Stegostoma tigrinum: one gene and its partners. The protein of the gene in region 3 purifies or fractionates together with the protein of the main gene of each other region. This does not show direct contact. Links are inferred from orthologs where the notes say so. Each region holds a gene or a part of one and is shown on either strand. Other genes may lie near its edges.

Region 1 (7,754 bases), on a different chromosome or scaffold from region 3:
AACCCAAAGCAGCTAACTCATGCCATTACTAAACAATTTCCATTTTAAATTGCAACAGACCAGAACTAGAAAAGCACAAATCCTTAAGACTTGTAGAACCATAGGAGCTTAGACATCAGGGAATGACAACACCATTTGAGAGGTATTTGAAAACAAGAGGCTTGTCTTCAACAAGAGACATTCTGGGTCAAACATCTGTTAAGTGAAGAGCACTTGATTGGAATTAGGATATTCCACAGGAATTTGAATCCCCAGCTGCTCAAAATTGAGACCAACAAAATGCATTGCAGGAATGCATTGGGGTAGTCAGGTCCAGAGTTCATAAGTCCTTGGATCAGGGTTGTACCAGCTAATAAGTTGAAATCAGTAATACTTTAGACATAGCAATAGGCTCTGTCATGGTGCTTACTCTAATTGACTCCACTTAGAAATCATGTTCTGTGGCCAGGATGAAGTGATGCCTGGTGATTTGAACCACTGCAGATTGTTGAATACAATAGCCTTTTTCCTGCAACGTGTTGGATATTTTAAAAAATACACAGCTATAGAATGAACTTCAAACTAGTGTTCTATCTACATATTTAAAGATTGCTTCAAAACTGTTGAAGTCTAGAATTCTGTGGGCATGAAATTTGGGAAGCTAATATGTCAGCAGGAAAACCCATCTTGAAACTCAAACAAGAAGCAATTGAATTATCAGCCTCAACTGGAAGCTTCTAAAAATCAGAGCAAATCTTGATGACAGCTCTAGGATAAGACCAGTTACAGTCTCAAAATTAATTTTCAACACTTCATACTTGGAACCAGCAAATTCAACTTAGCATTGGCATTCTTAAAGCCAAAATTTTGGTGGCTGTGCCAGTGAAGTTTCCAGAATTTGCATTAACAGTGTCATATATCAGTTATCCAAATCCAGTTTCTTCAAAACAGAAGAAATAGAAACTGCAGTACCTGAGCAGGTCTGACAGCTTGTGAAGAAAAAGCAAAGTTAACATGTCAGATACAGGCACAAAGTTCTGAAGGCTCAATGAAACTGAAATATTAACTCTGTATCTGTAGAGAAAGCAATGAGGCTTGCTGAGTTTCTCCAGAGGATTTCATTTCATTCAACTAATTCTCATGTTTAATTATCAAACTTTCCACCACATGTAAAAGGCATATTTGCTACACAAGACAGATAAAGAATAGCATGAGGGTGTAGCATTTTGTTATTTTATGGAAGCAGCAAACAAAACCTGCCCTTATTTTGTCTTTCTTTTTGGTTGGTCTACTAATTCCAGTCAGGGAGCCTGAACACCTTTACAATTGGCAAGAACTCTCAAGCAGTCAACTACAAGCACTAATTTCATATTGAGCACAATGTGACACCTGAGCCAAACATACCCCTGAACAAAGCATCTTGCCAAAAATTGAGATAGCTCAAAAATAGAATGGCTTTCCAGAATGTCAGATCTCAATGCAAACGTTACAGTCCTTGCTATTTGAACCCAGCAAATCACTAATTTAGGAGACACCAAGAACTTTTGTACCAATAACTACACTGACGTTTCTACAAAGACATCAACAGTCTCCCACCGTCTACATAAAACAAAGATCACATTCAATAAGCAATCCATTCTGGTTAACAGTACATGACATGAAATGTAAATTAGTCATTCTAATTGTCTCAGAAACAAATATTACATTATGACTGAAAATATCTTGTCTATCTTACAAGCTTCTTTATTTGAAAGAAACACTGATGGCAAACATAATGCACATTTTAATTTCCACTGAAGCCGCAGTCCATCCTCTAATGAATTGAGCAGGAACTCAACAGTGATATCAACCCATCCTCAATATGGACAGGGATACCGCATGGTCTGCCAAACTGAAAAAACAACAAATAAACTAAAACAACCAAAGTTCATCATTCCTAGAGGTCAATAGACAATGACCACCCTGCAAAGCAGTATCCTCAGCTGGTACAGAATCATGACATGCACTGCTATAAGCAAAAAGAATATAACGTACGCATATACGAGAAACAGTACTAAATTTTCCTAAGTTTTTTTGGTGTTCTGAAGGTTTCATGTCTTAGACAAAAAGTCAGGAGCAATATACTGGAAACCTGTAAAATACAGCATTCCATTGTTTACTCTGGTGTTGCTGTAAAGGAAATCAAAGATCATGCGTGCTGATCCAAAGAAAAAGCCCTTGTTATGACTCACTGTCTTTCCCCTTCTCACTAAAATTAGTGATAGACCCTTAACTTTCCAGTTCATACAATAACCAATATTTTGGTCACTGATCAGCCTGGAGCAGATGTTCTTGTATTCAAAAGATCAGATTTCTAACACAAACATGTTTTATATTGAAAAACTACACGGAACGTGTAATGAAGTTGTGTTGCATATTCGTGAATGAGGCAGGAAGCCAGATTTTGTTTGATAAAAAATGATAAGGGCAAAAAGTGCATGGCTCCTACAAGAGACAAAGTGTTTTTCTAAGCTTGGGGATTTACACCGAAAGATTTGTCTAAGCAGCTGAAGGGGGCACTCTTAATTCTGGAATTGAAACGTATCAATTGATTGGAAACCTTAGGCTTGTTTTGATGTATTGACGTACTGACAGCCAGCTGGAATCAGCAAATTAATTTCAAGCAATCACTTAGCAATTAAAAACCAATTGATTTTAAATCTGATGGTTTTGACAACTTCAGACCAATGCTGTTGTGAGATGATTGATAGATCATCCCAGGTATACAAGAAGAGGGCTTTTGAAAAGTCAGTGCAAGAATGAACTGGCATCTGAGAAATAACCGTTGGGCTCTCAAAAGAAATCGCTAAGCTCTCTAACAAAGTACCATCTATCCACTCCTAGCTAAGAGCCCTCTCAGAAAGCTTCACTAAACAAACATCCCTGACAACCAGATCAGTGGAAGTAAGGTGTGAGAGACTTGGGACCAGAAGAAAGCACGGAAACTTCGAGAGACTTAAGTTTTAACTTACTTTCTAATTACTCAGGTTTATATTAGTGGGACTTTCCACTAACTTGCTCGTGATTCTAACTTGCTACTTAAGTGAATATCAGCAATTTTCTTTCATTTACTCTGTCCTTCTCTAACAGTTTTAGATATTGGGCCAGTTTTTATGGGCGTTTCAGGTTTAATTACCAGAAGGGAATCTCACCCCATAACAGATTGGGGACCTTGTATTTCAATTTTAATTATCAGCAGGGCTTGAGCTCCCCTTCATAACAAATGTTCTTAAAGTATGAAATTAGCCAAGGGTTCAAGTGGCTCAAAAAGTCATGCTTGGAAGTCAGTCAACTTGAAAGCAATTTAACTGGATAAAACAATAAAAAGACTGGACAAAGGCCACAAGTTCGAACCCCCATTCCAGAGACATCACACACAAAAATAGACTAACTCACCCTCAGGACTGAGGAAGAGCTCTACCTGTGCAGAGGGAAGGCATCGTTGGACAAAACATTAAGCTGTTAGCTAAATTAAACCAGCAAACAGCTTTAAGAAAATCACGTTGGACAACATCATGGGGCAGCCCACCAGGCGACTTCGAAGTGCCATCCACCCACCAATTTGTCCCATACTAAGCCCACAAAAGGCAGCTGGACCAGCCGATTATGGTCATATTTGACTGTGGGACCTCGCAGTACTATATATTTAATTAGGCGATACGAGTGCCGACATTACAATGACTACCCTTCAGTAGAACATCGTGGCCTATGAAGCGTTTGGAGTTGCCCAGAAGATATGAAAGACACCAGACAATGCCACACAAACAGACTTACTGTGAAACGGCGATGACGCAGCTCGAAAACCCAAACCCACCTCCAACTGCCAGGAGGGCGCCGACTTCATCCGGCTCACAGCGCTCCCACTTCCGCTCTCGATTTCCCCCCCACCAACCTTTTACCATTTACTTCGCGATCGCGAAAAACAAAATAACAAAACTCACGTCGTGATTCCGCCGAAATAGCACTAGCTCCTCCGAAGAACGTTAACGGGGTGTAGCGGGCACCCAATGTCGTGCCGTTGCCTGACGCCTTCCTGGAGTTCGGCCGCTGCCAGCGCGGACTCACCCTAGACAATTCCCCTTTACTTTAGCTCATCAAAAAATACGCCATCCTAATAGCAACGCGCTTGCGCAGTTATCTCTTTTAAAGACGCCCGTTCGGTGCAATGCGCATGCGGTCGTTTTTCTTTTCCCCCCCTCCCCCATTTTAGGCGGGACCTGGTGTCACCACGCCTACCGGGAGTTGTAGTTCTCCGAGCTGGCGTGCCCGATGACGTGGGCGGGGCTGAGGACTACATCAACCAGCATCCCTGGCGCCACAACTGCACCGAGTGCGGAGGGAGGGCCAATGAAGGCGCTAGTGCTGCGGTTGCCGTGTGACGGCGGGCCAATGGGAAGGGTTGTTTGTTGCCGAGTGGGGTCGAATGTTGTATGTGTGTGAGGAGTGTTTTTTTCCTCTCATTCTCTCAGTTCCCCCCCCCCCCCCCCCAACCCCTTCGCTACCTTTCTATCTGTGTCTTTCTCTTTAGACTGGCGATTTAACGGTGGGTTTGTGGCATTCTAGTCAGGGTGACGCTGTCTCTGTCTGCCTGTGTGTGTATAGAGAAGGGGAGGCATTCAGCCTTTCGTCAGCGGCCGCCCCGTCGAGCGTTGCTCGAATGCCGAAGAAGTCAAGCCGGGGCGGACATCGGGCGAGGGGCCCCGGACTGTGAGGCGCACTCTGGTTTGGTTGGCAGGGCTTTCTTCCTTATTTTTTGCCCCCCTCGCCCTTGCAGCTTTCACACAGGACGGGTGAGTGACTGTAAAGGAGAAGGGAGGTTAAGTTAAGCAGCACCACCCCCCCCCCCCCCCAACCCCTCCTGGTTGGATTTTAAACAATGAGGATTCGCTCAGGCTTTTCGATGGGTGAAAGAGGAGCCTCCAACCACCTCGCACTCTTCAGTCTTTTGACCCCCCTCCCTCTCCGCCCCCGCCAAACGGTTTTAGCCAGGGAAGGGGGAGACCTGGTGTCTCGGCAGTTCTGGCTGTTCTCTGCGGGACGTGTCAAGTGTATCTGGGAGATGGAAACCGGCCGGGGAAGTCTAGAAAGGAGGTGAACAGCGCCTGGCTGCTTATTTAAAACATGACCTCGGCGTGTGTACCGGCTGTGTACGTGTGGCCGCTGCGAAGGATCCCCTCTCTCCCGCTTTCTTTTCCCCTTGCCCCCTTCTCCTTCACCTCACCTCCTCCCACCAAGCCCTGTCTCTCGCGGGCAGTGTTTGAGCCTATCGGCACCGATCCGGTGCGGTCCATGTGTAACTTTGGGATCTCTGGCTGAAATGGCGTCATTGACACAACTAGAAAGATGTTGTTTGGAGAGGAGGTGGAGAAACCCACCAGTTCCATCGCCCTGAACCGCTCGTTACAGCCCCTCTTGATCTTGAGCGTTTCAGTTCGATCCGCCGCCATTCATTTACCTTTCCTTTTTGCCGAATGAGGGTGGCATTAATGCACGCAAGCGAGGAGGTTTAGAAAAAAAGGAAATTGTGTCGCCTCTTGCAAAAGATGATATGGTATTGGCACTGCTTCGGCTGCCATTCATGATAAAGGGGAGGGGGCTCTACACTGAAAGGAGACGTCGATCACTTTCAAACGCATTTTTTTTGTGTGTCCCCTTTTCTTCCCTCTTTAGGTGTGTGGAGGTTGACTTTTTTGCTTCGGTCGGCGATTTGACACATTTCGAATCAACATGAAGGTAATAAAACAATAAAATTAAATGTTTTTTATTGCTTAATCGCTCGGTGTTGCAGTTTAATGAAGGCTTTTCGGGTGTCGAGTAAAGTCGCCTTCTTGTTACAGCGGATTTTTTCCCCGCTGCAGATCTGTAGTACATGTAGTTGGAGTATGCTGCATGACAAAGCAACAGCAAATACAAACTGCTTATTTGGTGCGGCAACATACAGCTGGACCAGAAGATATCGTGGACACGGTTTTATTACTTTAACTTCTCACCTCTCTAAACCTCTGCTAATTGTGATGGAATGATTGCAAAGATCGGTGTGTTTCGTGTTCGCAACCTTGTAGTGTCGCAGAGTTTTTAAATACTTGATTTTTTTTTCCCCCTGAAATAAAGGATACGTTTAGTCTAGGTTTTTTTGTAGGGTTTAGAACCGTTAGCGTTTTAGCTGCAGTCTTGTACAGCTTGGTTTCAAACGGCTTCGTAATATTATTGTCTACAGCAAAACGTTTTTTTTGGAAAGGTAAAGCTTCACAATCGATCCAAGTACATGTACGGAACAATTCGAATTTACTCGAATTAACTTATTTTAAGAGCAGTCGAACCGGAGCAGATCCAACGGTTGAGGCTTGAATTCTGAAAACGATTACTTGAGGTTAGTTTCGGTTTAGCTGAGCTTCGCAAAAAATGGCAGTTCTTGGCTATTGTGTCCTGTTAAAATCAGATCGTCAAGTCGGCTGTTGCGTTTGTGTTTACTTCTACTCAGTGCGGTAAAGCGACAAAAACAGTTATTCCTCGTGTCACCTTCCTAAAATTCGAGCTCTCCAGTCAGGCTTATGGAAATTCTGGTCAATACACCAGGCAAGTTGATTGATCCATGATGGTTTGAATTGAATTTACCGCAGAAATTGTCCATGGCTGAAGCAGTGAAGGATAAATAATAGATAATGTTCATACATTTAAAAACAAATGCAGTACGAGAAATTCGATGTTCTGGCGAGGATAAAACTCCCACCGTGGTTTCTCCAGAAGAAGGGGTCCATTGCTCTTTACTGAAACAACTGCAGTGGCTTACAGACCAACCAGAGTGGTGTCTGTAATTGACAGGGGGGTGAGAACGGCTTGAAGGTCAGTGTACTGTACTGAAGGTTTTGTGTTCACCTCCGAATTTCACGTACAAGAAACCAGTTATCTGGCTATCGAGATATTTGTGAGATTTGCTCTGAGTAAATTAGCTGCAAATTTCATACAACAGCAAGTACACTTCACGTGCTTTTGTTGAGACACACTTTGACATGAAACTCTGAAACACCCTTATGGGGCTTTGGGTACTTTCTGACCTCAAATTCAAAACAGTGTATGTTACAAACCTCATGTTGCTAAATACCATGTTTTTTGGGCATGTTGGTGAGTTAACTGATTGTAATAATGCTGCCTTCAACAACAAATAGTGAGTTACAGCCTGTTTATTTCTGTTAATCTCAATACCCTCAGCATGCTGGGGCAAAAAAAGACCAGTAGCAATGTAGTTTTCTCAGCTTGCGCCAGAGTCTCGTGTATCCTTTATTCCTGTGTTGCAGTCATGTACATCACTTTTTAATCTAACAACATCTTGCTTTTGAAATGTACATTCTTGTGTACAACTCCCTGCATGGCCTTGGATTTCCTTATTATTGTGAACTCCAACAGTTCCCCAACCCTCTGGTCACCCTCAATTTTTTATTGAAAAAGCTGTGGCCCCTCTTTGGCTTTACATTCACCTGCTAAGGTCCTGAGCTTTTGGGTTTCCCTTTGATAATCTCTGCACTGTTCTTTTTAACATTATGTTAATAATAACATGTAGTCAAAAAAATGAGATATGTGACTAGAAGTCAGTGTCACATTTTGTTTGGCAGTGGTCCTGGTGAAGCACCTCAGATTGCTTCATGACCCTACATAAATGCAAGCCATTATTGTGTGTGGATGATGTACAAATGAAGCAATACTTGGAAAATGGGAGGAGCAAGATACCCAGTGTTAAA
Region 2 (8,143 bases), on a different chromosome or scaffold from region 3:
ACTGAAACATAAGATTCTGAAGGTGTTCACAGAGTAGATATTAAAAGCTGTTTTCTCCTGCTTAGGGAATCTCAAGCACTGCATGTGTCTTAGCCTTGGGATAAAGAACTGATCATTTAATGTTGAGATGAGAAATTTCTTCACACTGAATATTGGGGATCTTTAGAATTGTCTATCTGTGGCTGTGGTTGTTCAAACTTAAAGAATACTTGAGGCTGAAATAAATAGAATTTTGGATGCTGAGGAAATTAGGGGTTTGGGAAAGGAGTCAAGACAGATAATCAATCTACTTTTGGATGTTCTTAACTTCTATTGCAATGTACTTTCTCTTCTCAGTCTGTTCCTCCCTCTTACCTTGCTTCATTCCACATTTCCTAACGTGGCAATTTTCCCAATTTAATAAAGAAATGAAAGGGGAGATATAAAAATGGCAAAGAAATTGCAAAACAAAGTATGATGAAACTTGGAAGAAGGGAGGTAAGATGTACATCTGAGTACTTTTGATATGTAATCATAGTTTTATTGGAGGAACCTGCAGCCAATTTGTACACACTGTTCCCACCAAGAGCACTGAGACAATTGCTAGATGTATTGTAGACTATTAATATGAAATCTGAACGTGGAAATGGTTGGAATATAAAACATAAACTAGGTACTAGAAAATACTCCAGCAGGTCAAGCAGCATCTTTGGAGCGATAAACTGAGTTAACAGTTCAGATCAGTAGAAAAGATAGTCAACCTGAAACATTGCTCTGTCATTACGCATTGATGCTTTCTGAATTATGAGTATTACCAACAGTTTGTTTGAGGAACACCAGGTGAATTCCTGATAGCGGATGTGTTCTTTTGAGAGCTGTTTGCATTGTAACAGTTTGAAATTATCTGAGGAAGATTGAGTAGCAGTATCCTGCAACACCATGAAGTGTCAAAACATTTAAAACTCAAATGCCACTAAAGCATAAACTTTATGCAGAACAGATTGTAATTAACACTAAAGCACAACACTGTGGATGATGAAACTGTAGTAGTAAGGAGAGGTGATACACCATTTCAGCAGCTACAGAGAAATGATGAGAGAATAATGCATGACACGGTGACAGAAATAAAAACAAAGTTACTGGAAAAGCTCAGCAGGTCTGGCAGCATCGGTGAAGGAAAAAACAGAGTTAACATTTCAGGTGCGGTGATCCTTCCACAGGACTGTGACAGAAATGTTAGGGTGAAGAAGAAAGCCACTCAATCCATTGTGACTGCAACAGCTCTCTAAGCATTGCTAAATACCTGCCTGTTCCCTGTTACCCTGAATATTGGATGATTATTGTTTCCAATTCAATGTTCTCTTGAATGCCTCCATTGAACCCACATCTACCATGCTTCCATGCAATTCATTCTAGACCAGACCAACTACCTATTGAAAACGTTTTCTCATCTCATATTTGCTGCTTTTGGAAACCAGTTTAAAATCCGTGCCAATGTGAGGCTGGATGAACACAGCAGGCCAAGCAGCATCTCAGGAGCACAAAAGCTGACGTTTCGGGCCTAGACCCTTCATCAGAGACGTCAGCTTTTGTGCTCCTGAGATGCTGCTTGGCCTGCTGTGTTCATCCAGCCTCACATTTTATTATCTTTGAATTCTCCAGCATCTGCAGTCCCCATTATCTCTTAAAATCCGTGCCATCTGGTTCTCAGTCCTGTAATCAACATGGAACAGTTTCTCAGTGGCTATTCTGTCTAGATCCCTCGTGATTTTGAAAACCTCTATCGCTCTCCCCTCAAAATAAACAGTCCAAATAAACCTCGACCCAGTGTTACGTACAAATGAGTACACAAATAGGAATCAGAGGTATTCAGCATGGATACAGGCCCTTCAGCCTATCTCGTCCTTGCTGATCAGGTTTCCTAAATTGAATTAGTCCTATCTGCCAAAGTTTGGCCTATATCCCTCTAAGCCTTTCTTAACCATGTACTTGTCCAAATGTCTTTTAAATGTTGTAATTGTATCTGTCTCTACCATTTCCTCTGGCAGTTCGTTCCATATGTGTACCACCATCTGTGTGGAAACAGTTGTCCTTCTGATCCCTTTTAAATTTGTTTTCCCCCCTCACCTTAAACTTATGCCCTGCAGTTTTCAACTTGCCTACCCTCGGTAAAAGACTTTGGCTGTTCACTTTATTTATTCCCATCATAATTTTATAAACCTCTATAAAGTCACCCCCACAGCCTCCCACTCTTCAGGAAAAGAAATCCCAGCCTTTCCTTGCAACTCTAACCCTTCAGTTTAAACAACATCCTTGTAGATCTTTTCTACACCCTTTTCTGGGACGACCAGAATTATAGTTGTGACATGACGGCCGATCCCTGCGCTCAGTCCTCTGACCAATGAAGGCAAGTGTGCAAAATGCTGCCTTCATCATCATCCTGTTCACCTGTAATGCCACCTTCAAGGAACAATGTATCTGTACCCCTTGGTCTCTCTGTTCAACAACACTGAGCAAAATGCAACAATTCACATTTATCTGCATTAAACTCCTTCTGCGACAACTCAGCCCACTGACCCAGTTGATCAAGGTTCCATTGTACTGTTGGATAATCATCTTTGTTGTCTGCTGTACCACCAATTTTGGTGTCATCTGCAAATTTACTAACTATGCCTGTTGTATTCCCCTCCAAATCATCAATACAAATGACAAACAACAGTGGACCCAGCATCACTGCTTGTGGCACACTGGTCATAGGCCTCCAGTCTGAAAAACACCCTCTACTGCCAAGAAATAATGAGAATTGCTGATACTGGAATCAGAGATAATAGTGTGGAGCTGGAGGAACACAGTAGGCCTGGCAGCATCAAGGGAGCAGGAAAGCTGATGTTTTGAATTTCTGAAGAATAGATTCCCTACAGTGTGGAAACAGGCCCTTCCGCTCAACAAGTCCACACTGCCCCTTGCGACATCCCACCCAGACCTATCCCCCTATAATCCACGCACCCCTGAATACTACAGGCAATTTAGCATGACCAATCCACCTAGCCTGCACATCTGTGGACTGTAGGAGGAAACCGGAGCACCCAGAAGAAACCCACGCAGACACGGGGAGAATGTGCAAACTCCGCACACATAGTTACCTGAAGCTGGAATCAAACCCGGGCCCCTGGTGCTGTGAGGCTGTAGTGCCGACCACTGAGCCACCGTGCTGCCCCTAAGGATCCTAACCCAAAACATCAGCTTTCCTGCTCCTCTGACGCTGCCTGGCCTGCTGTGTTCCTCCAGCTCCACACTGTGTTACCTCTACTGCCAATCTCTGTCTCCTACTCTTAATCCAATTCTGTGTACAATTAGCTAGCTCTCCCTGGATCCCTTGTGCAGCCTGCGCATCTGCCAATGTGGTATACTGCATCCGCTGTACCCGTTATGGCTCCCTCTACATTGGGGAAACCATGTGGAGGTTTGGCAATCGTTTTGCAGAACATCTACGCTTGGCTCACAACAAACAACTGCACCTCCCAGTCGCAAACCATTTCAACTCCCCCTCCCATTCCTTAGACGACACGTCCATCCTGGGCCTCCTGTATTGGCACAATGATGTCACCCGACGGTTGCAGGATCAGCAACTCATATTCTGCTTGGGAACCCTGCAGCCCAATGGTATCAATGTGGACTTCATAAGCTTCAAAATCTCCCCTCCCCGCAACTGCCTAACAAAACCAGCCCAGCTCGTCCCTGCCTCCCTAACCTGTTCTTCCTCTCACCTATCTTTTGCTCCCACTTCAAGCCGCACCCCCATTTCCTACCTACTAAACTCATCGCACCCCCTTGACCTGTCCATCCTCCCTGACCTGACCTAACCCCTCCCCACCTATACTCACTTCTACTGGCTCCATCCCTGTCCCTTTAACTTGTCTGTCTCCTCTCCACCTATCTTCTCCTCTATCCATCTTCGATCCGCCTCCCCCTACCTCCCTATTTATTTTAGAACCCTCTCCCCATCCCCCTTTTCTGATGAAGGGTCTAGGCCCGAAACGTCAGCTTTTGTGCTCCTAAGATGCTGCTTGGCCTGCTGTGTTCATCCAGCTCCACACTTTATTACCACCATTCTATGAGTTGTTTTTATGAGGGACTTCAGATTCCTAGCATAGAGTTGGGTAATTAAAGAAAAATCTGCCCCCCCCCCCTTTCAACATGTTTAGGAGATAAATGTTGGGTCCAACAAGAAAGAGTGAGTTTTGTTGTACCTGGTCCTTGGTAAAGAGTTAGACTCTCCTTGGAAATGAGGTGGATCAAGTGTCAGTAGGAGATCATTTAGGAGATAGTGATCATTGTAACGTTGGAAAAATAACATGTAACAATCCAAAATTCAGGTTTGGAATGCACCGCCTGCCACTGTGGTGGAGGTAGGTTCGAATGAGCTATTCAAGAAGTCACTGGATGATTATTTGGATAGAAATACTTTGCAAAGGTTATGTGCGAAAATCAGGCGGATGGCACTAAGTAAATGATGTTACTTTGAAGAGCCTGTGCGGGTACAATGGGCCAAATGGTCCGCGCGGTAACAATTCTATGATTCATTTCCATGCGAATTTAATCCTCTCGCGGCAAGGGGGCGGCGTTTCCCAGTTCTTCACTGCGTCCCGGTCGCCTCCTCCCTCTCGGGGGCGGGGGGACGCAGTTAGATGGCCCTCCCGCCGCTAGGGGAGCGCCGGCACTCGGTCCTCCCTCCTGTACGAAGGCTCTGGGCGGTGGCGGTGGCGGTCACGGTCACGGTCACTCGGTCCTCCCACCAGTAGGTGGGGCGGTGGCGATCCCGTTGTATCTGGGGAGGGGAGGCCGCGTCTGTGTGGGTTGTTGCTGGAGACGCGGAGAACATGCCGTTGGGTCTGAAGCCGTCCTGCAGTGTGTGCAAGGCCAATTCTTCGGCCATGTGGAGGAAGAGCAGTCAGGGCGAGATCATCTGCAACAACTGCGCTGGCAAAAGCCCCGGACCCGTCTCCGTTTCAGGCTTGACCGCGGGGTCCGGATCAGCTCCGGCTGCTCAGCAGAGCAACGGTGGCGGCAGTGGCGGAGGCGGCAAACAGGTGAGGCTGGGAGAAGGGTCTCTCTGATGAAGGGTCTAGGCCCGAAACGTCAGCTTTTGTGCTCCTGAGATGCTGCTTGGCCTGCTGTGTTCATCCAGCCTCACATTTTATTATCTTGGAATTCTCCAGCATCTGCAGTTCCCATTATCTCTGAGGCTGGGAGAAGCCTGAAGAGAAGGCCGCTCTGAGCTGTTTCAAATTCCTGTCCAGGGTAGAGGATGACCTGGGGAAGAGGCGCCAGCCTGAGACTAGGAGTACTTCTTTCATCAGTTAAATCAAACAGAATCAGAGCTGTAAAGCACGGAAACAGACTCTTCGGTCCAACTCGTAGATGCCGAGCAGATATCCTAAATAAATCTAGTACCACTTGTCCGAATTTATACTATAATCCCTCTCAACCCTCACAGATCCGTCCAGATGCCTTTTAAATGTTGTAATTGTACCAACCTCCATCACTTCCTCTGGCAGCTCGTTCCGTCTTTGCACCACCCTCATTGTGAAAAATTTGCCCCTTAGGTCCTTTTTATATCTTTCCCCTCTCATCTTAAACCAATGCTCTCTAGTTTTGGACTTTCCTACCCTGTGGAGTAAAACCTTAACTTTTCACCCTGTCCATTCCCTCTGTCAAGATGGCGGTTAAATCAGATTAAAGCTTTCATAAACCTAAAAGGGGCACTGGAGGTTCAAAATGTAAGTTAACAAAGCTTCCAGACCTGAAACATCAGCTTCCCTGCTCCTCTGATGCTGCCTAAGCCTGTTGTGTTCATCCAGCTCTACACCTTGTTAGCTCAGATTCTCCAGCATTTGCAGTTCCTACTATCTCAAAGCTCAAATTAAGTTGTCTTTTCAGAAAGTAATAATACATTGGAGCCCCTCCATTTTCCAACAGCCATAGAAGTCCTTGACTGTTTCAGTGGACACCACATGTTCCTTTTCCATGGACTCCAGGGTGTGGGGGTAACTTCAGAAGAGGGAGACTGGGAGTCATATCAGGACTGGGCAGTCACTGTTTTTGCCTTTGCACAGCAGAGTGTGAAGACATATAATATCATGTTTAATGACATGTTAGAGCTTAATCGAACCTGAAATATTTATCTTTTATGAGAAACTGGGGACAGGGATGAAAGATGTGATCCTCAAATGCTGTTGAAATTCCTGCCTTAATGGTCAGCATTAACTGGCTGTTTAGTCAATGTAAAAACAGAAAATGCTTGCAGTACTTTAGTAGACCTGGCAGTATCTGCAGAAGGTAAAACACGATTAATATTTCAGGTTTGTATCTTTTCATCAGACCTATTATTGAGGTTGATTGGCTCTTATCAAACATCCATACATGGATTTCCCAATCTAAACAACTGGATACATTTTTCATCCAGTCCAGCAGGTTTGAGTAGTCTTAGTATTCCACTTTCTGGTTGAATTGATTCAATACCAACTAGAAGTGAAAGTTATAGGAACTTCTATGAGCTTAGCTCATTGAGAGATTTCTGTCCTATGGTAATATGACTTGTCCTGCCCATAGAGTCTGTTCCTGCATTCATTGAGATCTTGGCTGATCTGTTAATCCCAGAAAGGGTCCCAAAACTATTCAGCGTTCCAGCTCTGGTCTGATTAATATCTTGTATAGTTTTAGATTTACTTTCTATGGATGCCCCCATTTAGTTTCCTTTTCAAAGCCATCTCGTATTTTGATATAACAAGGTGTAGGGCTGAATGAACACAGCAGGCCAAGTAGCATCAGAGGAGCAGGCAAACTAACGTTTTGGGCCTAGACCCTTGGCCTGCTGTGTTCATCCAGCTTTATACCTTGTTATCTCAGATTCTGCAGAACCTGTAGTTCCTACTGTCTCTGCATTTTGATATTTTATTTTCTAAGGCCATTATTGAAGTGGTTTCAGCAAAATAAACTTGATCTATGTCGGTGTTTCTTCAGTATTAATAGCATAATGAGACGAATGACGTGCTGTCACTGAATAACTACAGATAAACTCAGACGAAGAGAGATAGTAGGAACTGCCGATGCTGGAGAATCTGAGATGACACGGTGTGAAGCTGGATGAACACAGCAGGCCAAGTAGCATCAGAGGAGTTTCAGGTCGGGACCCTTCTTCTTGGCCGGCTGTGTTCGTCCAGCTTCACACGTGTTATCTCACGCTAAGAGATGCCTTTTTCGCTACGTGACCGCAAGTATTCTTTTTACTTCGAGAATGAATTTATTGTACTGGACTGTGTTCATTATTCTGTTGAAGTTATGTTATTCCATAATGAATTCAGGAGTAAGCAAGATTGTGGAGTTGAGATTAAAATTCAACCCCTGTGATCTTATTGAATAAAGGAGCAAGCTCAAGGAGATAGACAGCATACTGTTCCTTGTTCATAAATAATTTTGGAGTAACTATGAATTTTTTGCCGATACTGTGTTTGTCCTTGTTTATTTTCTCTTCTGTTTTGACAGGCAAAGCAAGAAATTCATAGGCGGTCTGCAAGGTTACGGAACACAAAATATAGGTCCATGCCACCTGCCGAAAAGAAAGTTTCTACAAAAGGAAAGGGGCGTAGACATATATTCAAATTAAAAAACGTAAGTCTATTAAAAAAGTACAACATCGGCATATTTAAGATTAGGTGGGGAAGGGAAGAAAACATTTCTTCAATTGGTAAGACAGTGGTCCTAAGCTTATATTATAGTGTTGTCTATTAAATAATTTTTCAAATTTTCAGTTTTTCAGATGATCTTTCTTGTGTAGCAGACTCATTAATTGTTGATGCCTTATTTTTGTTCTTTAAAGTAAATCTCCATCCTGAATTGCTGATGGGAATCTTTTTTGCATTCTGGTAAGTAATGGATCCCTTATTAAATTTAGAACTTAAAAGGATCAGGATATTTTTGAAGGACTACTTTGTCAATATATTTTTCTATGATTTATTACAATTTTTTTTACTAAAACTTGCTGAAATGATTGCTTTGCAGTGTGTATTTAAATTTTTGACCCTGTAACGAGCCATCCCAGGAACTGTGTTTGGCAGAGAATTCTCAAGTTATGGCCTTTACGTACTCTAGCAATGTATTATTG
Region 3 (8,156 bases):
AACCATCAAACTGCTGAAGGGTTTTGACCTTTGTCTTAATAAGTAACCTGATAGTCATTACAAACACGATTTACACGAATGCTTATTCAAACAGGAACCCAAAGAATGTGTCCAAATGGAGATATAGTCTGCAACAAATTGCTGATTGGTCTGTTGATCAGTGGCCATTTACTGATGACAAAGTGCCTTCTGCCTGCCAACAAATGTGATTGGTTCTCAGGTTGGTGAACAGATTAGGACTTTGAACAAGATGTGAAAAGCCATCAGACCTCCAATAACTCAAGACTTCTCTGTGCACGCTGAAGAAGCCACTGTAAGCTTGAGGAAAGCCATATTATCTTTCCTTCAGAAATTGCTCCAAGTGGTGATGTTTAATTAATGTATCAGGACCTTTTTCACGTATGAACCTGTCACCCTGTCCTCCTGTAAACCAGTGGAAGCATCTGGAGAAGAATGATCCAAAAGCAACATTCTGATCAGCACAATAATCATTCTTAGCCGATCAGAATGTTGCTTCTAGATCATTCTTCTCCAGATTCCTTTCCCTGTTTCCCTGCATCCTTAAAACCCATGTTTTTTCCCAGGTGGGTCTAAGGGGGAGTTTATAAAGGGGTTAAAGTTTTAACTAGAAGAGTCACATGCTGACTGCTCACAACTGTTTACCTGCACCTACAGTCTGTTAATTTGTAATTGTTTTTTATTCACTCACAGGATGTGGACATCACTCGCCAGCATTTACTGCCCATCCCTAATTGCCCAGAGGGCAGTTAAGAGTCAACCACATTGCTGTGGGTCTGGAGTCACGTGTAGGCCAGACCAGGTAAGGACAGCACATTCCATTCCCGAAGGGCATTAGCAAACCAGAGGGTTTTTCCTGACAATCGAGAATGGATTAATGGTCATCATTAGACCCTTAATTCCAGATTTTTAATTCAATTCAAATTCCACCATCTACCATGACAGGATACAAACCTTGGTTCACAGATCATTGCCAAGTTTCTTGATTAATACTCTAGCAGTAATACCATATGCCTTTGCATCCCCTAATAAAGTAATAAAGCAAAGTAATTACTTATGGAGTAGAGTAGAGTAGTGGAGTAATACAGCATGGAAACAGCCCCTTCTGCCCAAACTGGTCCATGGTGCCCACTCAGTCCCAATTGCCCACATTTGGTCCCTATCCCGCTAAACCCTTCCCATCCAAGTACCTATCCAAATGTTGTCTTCCATATTCGCACCACTCTCTGCGAGAAGAGGTTGCCCCTCAGGACCTTCCTAACTCTTTTCCCTCTCACCTTAAACCTATACCCTCTAGTTTTCAATTCCCCGTCCCTGGGAAAAACACTTCAATCCAACCCAAATAAAGTAATTCTTGTTAAGCACAGGAACCTGGTCCTGTGCTTTCTGCAGACCTGAGTCAATTAGTCATGTAGATCGGATAATTCTGCTTACTTTCAAAGTCTGTAACATTTATGACAATTCCAGGAATAGCAAGGCTTGACTTCAAATATGCTAACCAGATGCAACGTAAGAGAGGCAGCCTCACAGGGTAAATACTGAGACAATATTTCCTCTTGAGAGTGGCACAGTGGTGAGCACTGTGGCCTCACAGCACCAGGGACTTGGGTTTAACACCACCCTCAGCCAACAGCCTGTGTGGAGTTTGCATGTTCTCCCTGTGTCTGGGTGAGTTTTCTCCAGGTGCTCCATTTTCCTCCCAGAGTCAAAAGATATGTAGGTTAGGTGGATTAGCCAATGGGAAAATGCAGGGTTACAAAGGTATTGGTGGCGGTGGGACTGAGAGGGATGTTGTTTGGCATGTTGGTGAAGTCGATAGGTCGAATGGCCTGCTTCCACACAGTAGGGAGTCTACGGGGGAAAATGTGGGAACAGAGTTTCAAAGTAAGGCATTTTCCAGTTATGTTATACTGGGTCATTACATTTTTGAATTCTCTCATCCACAAAGAGTGGAGCCTGGCTGATTCAATCTATTCAAGGTTGAGTTTGATTTTTGTTTGATCAGGATGTTAAGGTTTGTGTAAAGTAGAATCGAGGCCACAAGGGAATGTGATGGCCCAATGGTATTATCACTGTACTGTTAATCTAGAGACCCGGATAACTTTCTGGGATCCAGAGTTCAAATCCCAGCACAGCATCATTCACCCACATCATAACTGGGAGATCAAACAGGCCACTGTGAAATTTAATAAATAGATAGATCATCAATGATTTGCATGGAAGCCATCAAATTGTATAAAAAATTAACTTCATCTGTCAAACAAGAAACATTTCTGAAAAAACATTCTCAAAAATCATATTTGAAACCAAATTGAAGGCACAGTGTCAGACACAGGCAAAGTCTCCAGGAGATTCATCACTGGACACCAGGTGGACTCCACTAACAACAAGCACAAAAAAAACAGGGAAATCAAATCATAGCAAATTACAGCAAATTCACATACATTCATATGTACCACAAGCTTTTTTCATAACTTAAAATGAAATTCATCCAGATGAGACTCCACCAACAAAAATTGGCCCACCCATTGGGTGAAATGGTCAGATCTTAACAAACGCACCTCAGAAACAGATCTCCAAACTTGGTTATTTAGTCATAGTTGATACATTTCAAATATCTTCATTTCAAAATATATTACACTTACTGAGAAGCTGACTGGTGTGGACTGTTGGGCTTAAAATTTATTCTCCTTGATGAACAATCAGAATAGACACTGATAAAAGACTTGGTAAATACTAAGACTGTATATTTCTGACAGCTAATAATTTTCTGATGCATAGTTCAAAATATTGCCAACTACTACCTTTTAATACAAACAGAAATACATTATGTTCCTTTGCACTCAATGGAGATTTAGTGCTTGTGATGATGCAAACAAATTTTTCACTGCAATCCAACAAATATAACTTTCTCATTATCCCGCGAAGGAAATTTAATCCAGCAGTTTCTTAAATAACATGAATCAAATGAGTAAGAAGGACCCTGACATGAAGGGGAGGAGATGGGTGGGCAGTGGGAGATGCGAGGGTGGGGGGTGTGGGGGGGCAGGAGATGCGAGGGTGGGGGTGTGGGGGGGGGAGGAGATGCGAGGGTGGGGGTGTGGGGGGGGGGAGGAGATGCGAGGGTGGGGGTGTGGGGGGGGGGAGGAGATGCGAGGGTGGGGGTGTGGGGGGGGGGAGGAGATGCGAGGGTGGGGGTGTGGGGGGAGGGGGTGTGGGGTGTGGGGGGAGGAGATGGGGGGATCGGAGATGGAGGGGTGTAGATGGGAGGGTGGGGGGAGAGATGGAGAAAGGTGAAGGGGAGGGGGAGGATGGGTGGGGGGGGTGGGTGGGGATAGGGGATGGGGGGATGGAGGGAGGGGGGAGGAGGATGGGGGGGATCGATGGGGGGGCGGAGGATGGGGGGCGGGGGATGGGGGGCGGAGGATGGGGGGGAGATCGTTGATCGTCATATCAAGCTGCCCCTCATTCCCCCACCATGTCCCCCCCCCCCAACCCCACTCACCCGCGGCTCCAGCCCGGGCTCCGCGCTTCCTCTCGGTTCCGGCTCCGCGCCCCCAGCGGCACCCCGTTTCCGGTCCGTCCGTGAAACCCATCCCTGGGACTGTGCCAGCCCGTAACCAATCAGACCACGGTGCCTCCCAGAGAAGGTCCGGGGCAGCCGCTTTGGACGCTGCCCGAAGGTTCCGGGCCGAGACCGCGCGCCCTCAATGCTGGGGGTGTGCACCAGGAGCCGGGCTTAGCCCTTCCCTCCACCGGCTTCAGAACCAAACGCAGGCCGATGCTGTAAATATTGCATTGCAGGGGGAGGTGTTTGATGAAACAGTTGAAGATGGTTAGAAAAAACAATTTAACAGATTTAATAACTTCCAAAGCGGCTTCAGGAACAAAATTAAATGAAGATATGAACCAAAAACAAGAAATTAGGAAGATGGGGGTAACTCTGCCTCAGAGCTAGCCCACACTGGGCGGGCTGAATGCCCAGTGCTGTCGTGTTTCATGATTCTTCCAACAAACACCAAACCATTCCCAGTTTAAAGCGGATGTGGAAGATGTTTGATGAAGTAATCCCTCAGAATGCTCCAGGTCTCACTCCAGCCTTCCTGAGCCTGACTGTCCCGGGGGAGAACGTCCACAGAAACCCTTTAAGGCAAAACTTTCTCACATTAATATTCATTTGGTGATGGATCTGAGCGGGGACATTATCTCCTGTAACCGCCCCCAAGCAGAGGGAGTGAAGCTGCCTCATGAATTCAGGAAAGGGACTGTCAGGAGGTGATGTGGATGAACGGATTTGTTCTGGTCACCCCGGATTCCCATTTATCAGGAAACCGCTGACATTGTGGTGGCAACATCAGAAATCTACTTCTGGTCATCTCACTCAGGTTAGCAAAACCTCTTATATGAGTGGGCTGAATGGTTATCTACTTTGTGATACTAGGAATCAGCACACAACTCTGAGCAACCATGTCAGATTTTTTTAAAAAAATCAAATTGGTGTAATTTTAAAAAAGCAAAGTTTATGTTTAATTCCCTGAGCTGCTGTTGGCCGTACTAAATCTGTTACAATCCCATAACACCCCAGTAGAATGTTCACTGAGATTAAACCTGGGTGTGAATTCAACTCTGTAGCAGGTAAGGCTGGGCCACGCAAGGAGTATTACAGCCGGTCTGAAGTAGGAACACATGCTTCTGATTCCTGTACAGTGTCCCATCCTGGGAAGTCACTGTTAAAAGAATGATATCTGGACTGCTCCTGAGATGCTGCTTGGCCTGCTGTGTTCATCCAGCTTCACACTTTGTTATCTTGGACTTCAGGAGTTGTATTATGATGACAGACTATACCATGTAAGGCCTGATCAAAGTCTTCACTATGTTAACAGAAAAAGACAGGGTAGGTAAAGATAAACTATTTCTATTGACTAAGATTTGAGAAGTAGGGGCATAGACCATTAAGAAGAGACATTAGGAAGTACTTCTACACACAAAGGGTAGGAGGGGTTTGGAACTCACTTTCACAAATGTCACTTGCTGCTGGATCAGTTGTTACTTTTAAATCTTATGCTTAACAAAAAAGTTAGTTAAGAATTAAATAACATGGGCCAAACCAACCAGGATCTCATTGAAAGGAGTGAGTGAGTGAGTGAGTGAGTGACACACACTGAGTATAATCCATATGCCAATGAGAAGCTGTGGTGTGGCAGCTGATTTACTGGATTAATCCATTAAACTGGGGAACAGGGGTTCAAATCCCACCAGGGTGAATGGTGAAATATGAATTCAATAAAATTTGAAATAAAAGCTGGCCTAATGGTGACCATGCAACCATTGTTGATTGATGTAAAAACCCACCTGGTTGATGAATGTCCTTTAGAGAAGGATCTTAAGTGGTCTTGCCCACACAACTCCAGACCCACAGCAAAGTGGCTGACTCCTACCTGTCCTCTGAAAGGGCCTGGGAAGACGCTGTTGTGTATCTAAATAAAGGAATATAACTGGAAAGACCAGCCTCCACCAACCAAGGCACTAGAAACAAAGTAAAACGCTTCCTTATGAACCCAACAGAGTCTTGTCCCTTGGATATGTCCTGTCCTGCCAGGAGAGGGGGAAGCAGTGGTATATAGTTGAAAGGGAGTCACCCTGGAAGTGCTCAGCATGGACTCTGGACAGACCGAAGTCTCAGGGCATCAGGTTAAACATGGGCAAGGAAACCTCCTGCCGATTACCATGTATCATTCTCCCTAAGCTAATGAATCAGTACTCCTCCATGTTGGTGGTTAACACCTAGAGGAAACACTGAGTATGGCAAGTGCCCAAAATGTACTCTGGGTGGGGGATTTCAATGCCCACCATGAACAGTGGCTCAGCAGCAGTAAGCCTGATCGGGCTGGTCAGGTCCTATAGGACATAGCTGCTAGACTGGGCCTGCAGCAGGTGGTGAGGGAATCAAAAAAGAAAAACAGACTAACAGACTTGACCTCATCCTGACCAAGCTGCTGGTTGCAGATGCACTGGCCCATGACAGCATCAGTAAGAGTGACCACTGCACAGTTCTTGTGGGCATGAAGTCCCACCCTCACTCTCTATCATGTTGTATGGCACTATAACCAGACTAAATGACTTCAACAGATCTAACAACTCAAGACTGGTCATCCATGGAGGCCATCAGCAGCAGCATTGTACTCTAGCACAATCTGCAACCTCCTAGCACTCGTATCACCCATTCAACCATTACGATCAAGCCAGAACTGCACACACTATTCCAGCTATGGCCTACAGTTGTATATAGCTCCATCTTAACTTCCTCATTTTTATACCCTATGCCTTGAAAAATAAAAGGCAAGTATCCCAAAAGCCTTTTAACCACTATTCACTTGTCCTGTTGCCTCCAATCATTTATGGTCCCCCTGATTCTGGATGTAAGTTTGCTCGCTGAGCTGGAAAGTTCGTTTTCAGACGTTTTGTCACCATTCTAGGTAACCTCATCAGTGAGCCTCCAGTGAAGCGCTGGTGTTATGTCCCGCTTTCTATTTATCGGTTTAGGTTTCCTTGGGTTGGTGATGTCATTTCCTGCGTTGGTGATGTAATTTCCTGTTCTTTTTCTCAGAGGGTGGTAGATTGGCTCCAAGCCAATGTGTTTGTTGATGGAGTTCCGGTTGGAATGCCATGCTTCTAGGAATTCTCGTGCATGTCTCTGTTTGGCTTGTCCTAGGATGGATGTGTTGTCCCAATCAAAGTGGTGTCCTTCCTCATCTGTATATAAGGATACGAGTGATAGTGGGTCATGTCGTTTTGTGGCTGAATCCCCGGATTCCATAATTCCTTGGGTCCTACCATTCATCATATACTCCTTTACTTTATAAGTCCTTCAAATTTTCAGAATTAAATTCTATTTGCCATTGTCCCGCCCATCTGACTACTGTCCTATAACCAGAGGCTCTCCTCTTTGCTATTTACCACATCATTAAACTTTAGTGTAGTGTAAACTTACTGGTAAAACGTACAATCAATGATAAGGACATGAATAATCTAGGATTCACACAAGTAGACGAGGAACAGCAAGGAACCCAGGCTTTCAGTCACAAGAGACTTTTACCGTCATCTTCTGTTTCCTGTCACTGAACCAATATTTTGAATCTAATTTGCTAAAATTGGCCTGGATTCAATGGACTTTTACTTTTATGCCCAGTCTGCTATTTAGAGTATATCCAATGCACTACATTGAAATTTTTTTCAAGAGGTGACAAGCTGAATCAATCAAATTTGACAATTTCCCCTCTGACAAAGCCACGATATGCCTGATTAATTCTTTCCCCATCCAAATGGAGATAGAATTCTATCCTCAGAAATTTCTCCCAACTGATGTCAGACTCACTGGCCTATCCCTACCATGGCAGTTATTTACCAATCCCCAGCACCTCTCCTGTATCTAAACTTTTAAAATTGACATCAATGCTCCTACAATTTCCTCGCTTGCCTCCCACACTGATTGTTTGAATGTGACATCAAGAAGCTCTAAGCAAAAGTATAATTAATAGGAACTGGGGAAAATCTTTTTGCTGGTTGAAGTCATACTTGGAAGATGGCTGTGGCTAGAGGTCAGACATCTCAGCTCCAGAATATCTCTGCAGAGTTCCTCAGGGTAGTGTCATAGGCTCAGCCATCTTCAGCTGCTTCAATGACCCTCCGTCCATCGGAAGGAAGGTCAGGAGTGGGGGATGTTTCCACAATGTCCAGCAGCAGTCACAACTCTTCAAATTCAGAAACAGGCCTCGACAATATCCTGGCATAGTGCCACAGAAAGATCTTCTCCAATAAAAAGGTAATCTAACAATCACCCCTTGACATTCAATGATGTTACCATCACTGATGCTACTATCAACAGCCTGAGGGTTACCTTTGACCAGAAACTGAACTAGGTTAGCTATTTAAACTAGTGACTTTCAGAAAGCATAAGAGGTTAAGCAACCTATAAAGTGTAACTCATGCCCTGACTCCCCAAAGCAGGTCCACCATCTGCAAGGCACAAGGCAGGAGTGCGGTGGAATGCTCCCCACTTGATGGATGGGTGCAGCTTAACAACACTCAAAGCTCAATACCATCCAGGACAAAGCAGGTCCCACTTGACTGGCAATCTA
Region 4 (8,176 bases), on a different chromosome or scaffold from region 3:
CTTAGGGATCGCTTTTCAGAACAGCTCCGCTCGGTTTGCAATAAACAACTGCACCTCCCAGTCGCGAACCATTTTTACTCCCCCTCCCATTCCTCAGACGACATGTCCATCATGGGCCTCCTGCACTGCCACAATGATGGCACCCGAAGGTTGCAGGAACAGCAACTCATATTCCGCTTGGGAACCCTGCAGCCCAATGGTATCAATGTGGACTTCATAAGATTCAAGATCTCCCCGTCCCCCACTGCATCCCAAAACCAGCCCAGCTTGTCCCCGCCTCCCTAACCTGTTCTTCCTCTCTCCTATTCCTTCCTCCCACCTCAAGCCGCACCTGCATTGCCTACCTACTAATCTCATCCCGCCTCCTTGACCTGTCCATCTTCCCTGGACTGTCCTATCCCCTCCCTACCTCCCCACCTCTTCTCTCCTCTCCACCTATCTTCTTTTCTCTCCATCTTCAGTCTGCCTCCCCCTCTCTCCCTATTTATTCCAGAACCCTCTCCGATGAAGGCTCTAGGCCCAAAATGTCAGCTTTTGTGCTCCTGAGATGCTGCCTGGCCTGCTGTGTTCATCCAGCTTCACACTGGTTATCTTGGATTCTCCAGCATCTGCAGTTCCCATTATCTCTGATTGCAGCTTTATAATACTTTGGTTAAGCCACACTTAGAGTATTGCATTCAATTCTGATTGCTACATTACAGGAAGGATGTGGAGGCTTTGGACAGGGTGCAGAAGAGGTTTACCAGGATCCTGCCTCGATTAAAGGGTCTGAGTTATCAGGAGAGGCTGGAAAAACTTGGGTTGTTTTCTCCGGAGTGGCAGAGGTTGAGGGGAGACTTGATAGCAGTCTATAAATAAGAGATGCATAGATAGTGTTGACAAGCAGAATCTTTTTCCCAGAATTGAAATGTCTAATACAGGGGGCATGCGTTTAAGGTGAGGGGGGAAGTTCAAAGGATACATGAGTGGCACATTTTTTACACAAAGTGTGTTGGAAGTTTGGAATGCATTGCTCGGTGTGGTGGTTGAGGCAGATATGATAGGGGCATTTAAGGGACTTTTAGATAAACAACAAATGGATGGATACAGACAAAAGGTAGACAGAAGGGATTAGTTTAATTTGTTGTCTTATGGGGCACAATATCATAGGCTGAAGGACCTGTTCACGTACTAAATAATTCCATGTTGCAGTCTACATGGACTTCATGAAGTTGGTTGGGTTCAGTTGATGGCATAGTTTGTGATGCACAGGAACGTTAATCATGTAGGTTCAATTCCTGTATTGGTTGAGGTCAACATGAAGATCATTTCTTTTCAAGCTCACCCTTCCCAGAATGTCATGACCTTCAGATTAAACTCACCACCAGTTGTCTCTCTCTAAAGACACAGCAGCCCTATGGGACTATAGTGACTTTGCCTTTACCCATATGGGCTTTAGTAACTTTTGGCAAGGTCTCTCATGTCAGAGCGGTTAACGATCTACAAGCCCATGGGATCCAGGGGAATTTGGCAATTTGAATCCAAAACTGGCTTAGTGGCAGGAAGCAGAGAATACTGGTTGAAGGGTATTTTTGTGACTGGAAACCTTTGTCCAGTAGCATATCACAGGGTCTGGTGCTGGGTCCCTTGCTGTCTACCATGCACATTAATGATCTAGGCCTGAACAAAGAAGGTATGATCAGTATGTTTGTAGATGACATGAAAATTGATGAACGTTGTAAGTAGCAAGGAAGAAAGACTGAGACAACAGAATGATATAGATAGACTGAACTGTGGCAAGTTAAGTTTAATCGAGAAAAGTGTGAGGTGATGCATTTTGGAAAGCAAAGCATGGAGAATGGTAGGATTATAGGACGTACGGAGGATCAGAGTTATCTTGCTGTGGATGTCCATTGATCCTTGAAGGTAACTGGGCAGGTTGATAAGATGGTGAAGAAGGCATATGGAATATTTGCCTTTATTAGCCAAACTAATGAATACAAGAGCAAGGAGGTGTACTGAAACTGTATTTAATATTATTTCAGCAACAGCTGGAGTACTATGTGCAGTTCTGGTCATCATATTATGGGAAGCACAGGTTTGAACCGGTTGTACTGAAGAAGTCATGCCAGACTCAGAATGTTAATTCTCTCGTTTTCTCCACAGATGCTGTCAGAGTTGTTGAGTTTATCCAACATTCTCTCTTTTTTTTTAAGATTTACAGCATACACTGTATCTTGCCTATATTTTCCATGCTGTACCCTGGCCTTGGCCAATTCAGATATAGGGCAGCACGGTGGCTCAGTGGTTAGTACTGCAGCTTCACAGCGCCAGTGATCTGGGTTCGATTCCAGCCTTGGGCGACTGTCTGTGTGGAGTTTGTACATTCTCCCTGTGTCTGCGCGGGTTTCCTCCAGGTGCTCCAGTTTCCTCCCAGTCCAAAGATGTGCAGTCTAGGTGGATCGGCCATGCTAAATTTCCTGTAGTGTTCACGGGTGTGTGGGTTATAGGGGGAAATGGGTCTGGGTGGGATTCTCCAAGGGGCGGTGTGGACTTGTTGGGCCGAAGGGTCTGTTTCCACACTGTAGGGAATCTAATCTAATACAGCAACATCAACATTTTGGTTTGGGACCCTTCATCAAGACTTTATAGGGGTCCTTGTGGTACAGTAGTACTGTCACTACTTCTGGGCTAAAAGGCCTGGGTTCAAGTTGAACCTGCTCCAGATATGTGTAGTAACATATGTGAACAAGTTGTTTGAAAGTATGTGCAGCAGGGATTATCACCAAAATCATTTCCCCAGTCAAAAAGGTACAATACTATGGTCCAAGTGCCTGAAAATAAAATTAGAATGGATGGATAAATTAACATGAACAGCTGAAAATCTGAAACAAAAGCAGAAATTTCAGTTTTGGAAGCATGAGTGGAGAGAAAACAGAACCAATATTTCGGGTCCAGTGACCCTTCTTCACAGCTGATAGTAACTAGGAAATGTGGTATACATGCTGAAGACACAGCGTGGGATGGGGCAGTAAGCAGATAGGTGGAGACAGAGACCAGAGGGAGAGAAACAAATTTAGACAGATAAAGGGATGGATGAAGGAGAAAAATCTGATAATAGGGACCACAAATGGGGGAAATTAATTGACTGTGCTGAAATCCAGCTGTAGTCATGACAGAGGCTGTGGTGTGATTGGTTAAAGAGTTTGGAAGGAGGTGTTCAGGGTTCTAAAATTCTTGAATTTGACTCCTGCAGACTACAGGGTTCCCAAGTGGAAATGACTTGCTGTTCTTCCAGCTTGTGCTGAGACTCGCTGGAACACTGCAGTGAGCCTGAGACAGAAATGTTGACCAGGGAACAGGTGCTGTGTTGAAGTGGCAGGCAACTGGAAGCTTGGTGTCATTTTTACAGACAGTAAAGTGCTTACCCAGTCTGTGTTTCACCTCCCCACAATGTGAGCAGCGAATACAGGCAACTAGATTAGGTAAATTGCATGTAAATCACTACTTCACCTGGAACGTGTGTCTGGAACTTTGGATAGTGAGGAGAGACTAAGTAAACGGGCAAGTGTTGTACCTTCTGTCATTGTATGGGAAGATGTGGGGGTGCAGGAAGGTGTCGGGAATAGAAACTGAACCAAAGTGTCCCAGAGGGAACATTTCCTGTGAAATGCTGACAACAGAGAGGAGACAAATATGTGTCTGGTGGTAGCATCCCACTGGAGGTAGCAGAAATGGTGGCTTACGATCCTTTGGTTGCAGACGCTGGTGGGTGAGGAAAGGAGACCCTTTTAGTGGGAGGAGAGAGTACAGGTGAGGCCAGAAGAGTTGGAAATGAGTTAAACAGGGCTAAGGGCCCTGTTCTCCAACTCTGTTGCGGCTGTTCTGACGATGTCACGTTCTGCAGAGGAACCTCATAATTTTCACATTTTCCCTTAACCAAGAATTCCCAATCACCATGGTTGACAGAGCCCTTAGTCTTGTCCGACACACCTCCCTCCCTTCGTCTTCAGCATTTATGACACCTTTTCCCAGCTTCAAACAGTTCTGAAGAAGGGTCGCTGGACTTGAAATGTTAACTCTGGGAACCATCAATTTAAGTCATCAGTTCAGAAAAGTCTTTATCCAGAAAGTGGTGAGAATGTGGATTTTGGTACCGCGGGAAGAGATTAAAATGAATGATTGGATGTGATGTACGGAAAGCTCGACAAGCACTTGAAGGGGGAAGGATAGCCTTGACTGGAACTGATTGCCCTGTTTTATATATAATCCGAAGGGCTGTAAGAATGGATGTTCGAATAAATTATATACCAACTGTCGACAGGAAATTGGATAAACACTTCAGAAAGTAAAGTCCTAAAGAAAAGGGATTGGATTCGGGTTTGTTCATTGTTTCTCTCTCTACTCACAAGCTACAGCATTTTCTGTTTTCATTCCGGAGCCGAGGACCTTGTGACCTGCTGTCCTCGGAATCTGAGGCTGTGGTCCTCAACCAATCAGAAGGTGGGACCGTGTAATAACAACCAATAGTAATTGATCGGGGGCGTTGGGGCGGGGCCATATCCAATAATACTGCAGCTGCTTTGCCGCGACAGCCAATCACCGGATCGATGAGCCCTGTAAAAACAAGTGTGTGTGAAATCTTGCTTCGCAACCCGCGAGCGGAAGTGGTGCGCGCGCCTGAGGACAGTCGCGCGCTTGCTTTGACCTTTCACCCCCACCCGCCCTCATCCTCAGGGACTGGGCCTAGGTTGCTCTCTCTGTGTGTGAGAGGCTCCCGTCGCTGCAGCGGGCGCCGGGCTCGCACTGAGCTGCAGCAGTCACCGCGTTCCTGGGTGACGCCAAGGCCCAGGCCGCGGTCTGGCGCCGAGGGACCACTCCGGGGTTGGAGCCCGGAGCCCCGGCCTCCCTTTGTCTCGGAGATTGCCTGCCGCTGCTGCCGCCATCATGTGGATATTCTCGGAGTTCATCCCGCCTCCTGAGTGCCCGGTATTCGAGCCGAGCCGGGAAGAGTTCCGGGAGCCGCTCGGGTACATCAACAAGATCCGACCCATCGCTCAGAGGAGCGGCATCTGCAAGATTCGCCCGCCCAAGGTAAATAAAAACCCTGTCTTCCCACCGCGCATCGACAGTAACTCGGGGGGAGGGCTGCGCTCGGCCTGCAACCACTTAAGAGGCCGTCGGCGGGGTAGAAGGACAGATCCCCGTGATGTGGAACCAGGAGGCCGCGATCCAACTTAATGGCGGCCGCCTCCTCTTCACAGACAACAAGGAAAACAACCCCCCCCCCCCCCCCCCCCCCCCGAGGGGTCTAGGCCCGAAACGTCAGCTTTTGTGCTCCTGAGATGCTGCTTGGGCTGCTGTGTTCATCCAGCTTCACACTCTGTTGTCAGGGAATCAAACCCTGATTGCAGCGGGTTCAGGAACGGGTGTAGTCTATCTGGAGAGAAACTGGTGTTGGGCGTCTGCCTAGAGTTTGAGTTCTCAGCCGTGGGTCGAGTCAATTTTTAAACAAAATTAATCAAGTCTACCTCTTCAAGCTGACAGTTTTGCCAACACCCCCGGAGGAAATCTGGCTATTTCTGCTATTCACTTAGGTTTCTCATCAGCACTTTTATTGAGCAGTGATCAGAGTCAGCCACGTTATTGTGGGTCTGGATGATAGTTTCCTTCTCTAAAAGATGTCAGTGAACGAGATGAGTTTATCAGGCAATCTGCAATGGATTTGTGGTCACAATTAGATTTGCAATTCTGGATTTTTTAAATTTCAAATTCCACTTTCTTCTGTGGTGAGATTTAATCAGTCCCCCAGAACCTTGAGGAAATGGTTGGGGGGGGGGGGGTGGTGGGTGGAGAGAGGGGAAGGAGGTCCTGAAATAAATAGGAAGAGAGGTGGAAAGATGACTAGTCTAAAATCACTAGTCAAAATGGTGGGGATGGAGCCAGTAAAGGTGAGTGTAGGTTGGGTGGAGATACCTCAGTCCAGGGAGGACACACCTCAGTCCAGGGAGGACACAGGTCAGAGGGGGTTGGCTGAGGATATGAGGTGGGAGGAAGGACAGTTAGGGAGGCAGGGATAATGTAGGTGGAGGGGAGATTTTGAAGCTTGTGAAGCCCACGTTGATACCATTGGATTGCAGGGTTCCCAAGTGGTCCTTGAGAAATGAGGATGTCTGAGATGATTGGGAGTAGAATGCCTCATCCTGGGAGCAGCTGCTGCAGAGAAGGAATAGGGGATGGCATTTTTGCAGGAAGGTGGGTGGGAGGAGGTGTATCCTAGGTAGCTGTGGGAGTCCACCCCCACCCCGTCTCCTACCTGCTAACCTCATCCTGCTCCCTTGACCTGTCTGTCCTCCTGGGATTGACCCAGTTCCCCTCTAACTCTGCACCTACACTCACTTTTTTACTGGCTCCATTCCCACCACTCTGACCTGTCTGACTCCTCTCCACCTATCTTCTCTTCTATCCACCTCCTCCCCTCCCTAGTTATTTCAGAACCCCCCTCCCCACTTCTGAAGTAGTGTCTAGGCCTGAAACATCAGCTTTCCTGAATTTATGATGCTGCGTGGCCTGCTGTGCTCGTCTAGCACTACACCTTTCTATAGAACAATACAGCACAGAACAGGCCGTTCAGCCCTAAGTGTTGTGCTGACCTGTGAACTAATCCAAGCCCATCCCCTACACTAGCCCATTGTCATCCATATGCTGATCCAAGGACTGTTTAAATGCCCCTAATGTGGCTGAGTTAACTACGTTATCTTGGATTCTGCTGTTCCTACTGTCTCTGAAACAATCCTGTGGAACATTACCTGGGTCTCTGGATTAACAGCCCAATGATATTACTAGTAGGCTACCACCTCCCCAATAATTCCACTTTTTTATCATTAACCCTGATTGTTCTGTTTCTAATGTTTATCCAGTTGTCTTAGAAAGTTATTTCTTTCTGCTACCCCTGAATAAGAACCAGTCCTTTCCAGTTTACCATCATTTGGTGTAAGAAAAAATCTTTCCACTGGTTCTTACGTGGGATTCTTTAAGCCTGGCATCTTGGTTGCTGATACTGCTGCCATTGAAATGGAAATAGTTTAGCCTTTGTTATGCAACCTCAGTTTTATCACCCTAGTTAAATTGTCCCCTAAACTCTGCTTCAAAGGCTACAAAGCTTCTTATTTCTCTACATAAACTGAAGTCCTTCGTGATGTTCCTGGAAAAACCCTTGATTCATTTTATTTAGTCACTGGATGAGGGTGTCACTAATCAGGCAGCACTTATTGCCCAAGGGCAGTTGAGTCAACCACATTGCTGTGGGTCTGGAGTCACATGTTGGCCAGACCTGGAAAGGATGGCATAAGTGAACCTGTTAGTTTTTTCTGACAATTGGCAATGGGTTCATGATCATCATTTAGATTCTTAATTCCAGATATTTTATTGAATTTAAACCTTCCCCCCCCCCTTCCCTGCAGAAGGCTTGATTTGTTGATGATAGGGACCTGCTTTATTTATTTACTTTATCACTTGAAGTCTGCATTATTAACTCAGTGTTTGACATCTGTAACTTTCTTTGGTGATCAGCTGGCTTGTTGAAATGTTGCAGTAGATATGGTGAGGGTATTGTGCTGTAAGACAGGGAGTTCCAGAAATAGATTGGTTGTATTTACAGGACACAAGTATGTGTCTTAGAGACTGACTGGTAGCATTGGACTTGTGCACTGTTCTTTCCTGCTGTTGGAGTTGCAGGATTGAAGGAAGCCTTGGCAAGTTGTCCTGTGATTTGTAACTAAATGTCTTTACTTTTTGCACTTTGCCTCCTGTAAAGCTGAGGGAATGTTTTTATTGTCTTAATTTTTCATCCACTCTATAAAATGGGGTGGGATGTTGGGATTTATCTTTGTAGATCAGAAACTTGAAGCAAGAAGCCATGTAAAACAGACCCAGCTGATTTTTCACCTGCTCATGCCTTGAGTGAAGCAATGCATCCCACTGGTCTGGGGACTGAACTCATCACGTGGGTGAATATAATCTGGAAAGGAAGTCATTCAGTCTAGTTCTGTTTTCTAGTGCTTGACCCTTTGGCTGGGGTTGCAGTGCTTCAGGTGTTGATTTGGCATTGAGGGCCTCTGTCCTAACCAGATTTCAGGTGCAGAGCTGTAGATCCCTTTATCCTTCTAAACCAGTTACTTTGTGAAATCTTTCTTCC

What was found.
Region 1: the proteins of sin3b (region 3) and arid4b purify together in Homo sapiens (affinity purification with mass spectrometry; 3 studies listed by BioGRID and IntAct, with this or other methods). This does not show direct contact. The link is inferred for Stegostoma tigrinum from reciprocal best matches to the Homo sapiens genes SIN3B and ARID4B.
Region 2: the proteins of sin3b (region 3) and gatad1 purify together in Homo sapiens (affinity purification with mass spectrometry; 5 studies listed by BioGRID and IntAct, with this or other methods). This does not show direct contact. The link is inferred for Stegostoma tigrinum from reciprocal best matches to the Homo sapiens genes SIN3B and GATAD1.
Region 4: the proteins of sin3b (region 3) and kdm5a purify together in Homo sapiens (affinity purification with mass spectrometry; 4 studies listed by BioGRID and IntAct, with this or other methods). This does not show direct contact. The link is inferred for Stegostoma tigrinum from reciprocal best matches to the Homo sapiens genes SIN3B and KDM5A.

What each region holds. Positions count from the first base shown.
Region 1 is NC_081357.1:96,225,146-96,232,899, reverse strand, and holds the start of arid4b (AT-rich interactive domain-containing protein 4B), read left to right. Parts: upstream 1-4,441; 5' UTR 4,442-4,808; intron 4,809-4,985; exon of another isoform or gene 4,986-5,109; intron 5,110-5,688; 5' UTR 5,689-5,745; coding exon 5,746-5,751; intron 5,752-7,754. UniProt on the Homo sapiens protein: Acts as a transcriptional repressor. May function in the assembly and/or enzymatic activity of the Sin3A corepressor complex or in mediating interactions between the complex and other regulatory complexes.
Region 2 is NC_081355.1:108,518,599-108,526,741, reverse strand, and holds the start of gatad1 (GATA zinc finger domain-containing protein 1), read left to right. Parts: upstream 1-4,722; 5' UTR 4,723-4,859; coding exon 4,860-5,069; intron 5,070-7,524; coding exon 7,525-7,650; intron 7,651-8,143. UniProt on the Homo sapiens protein: Component of some chromatin complex recruited to chromatin sites methylated 'Lys-4' of histone H3 (H3K4me), with a preference for trimethylated form (H3K4me3).
Region 3 is NC_081383.1:940,309-948,464, forward strand, and holds the start of sin3b (paired amphipathic helix protein Sin3b), read right to left. Parts: upstream 3,622-8,156; 5' UTR 3,524-3,621; intron 1-3,523.
Region 4 is NC_081371.1:279,503-287,678, reverse strand, and holds the start of kdm5a (lysine-specific demethylase 5A), read left to right. Parts: upstream 1-4,677; 5' UTR 4,678-4,926; coding exon 4,927-5,073; intron 5,074-8,176. UniProt on the Homo sapiens protein: Histone demethylase that specifically demethylates 'Lys-4' of histone H3, thereby playing a central role in histone code. Does not demethylate histone H3 'Lys-9', H3 'Lys-27', H3 'Lys-36', H3 'Lys-79' or H4 'Lys-20'.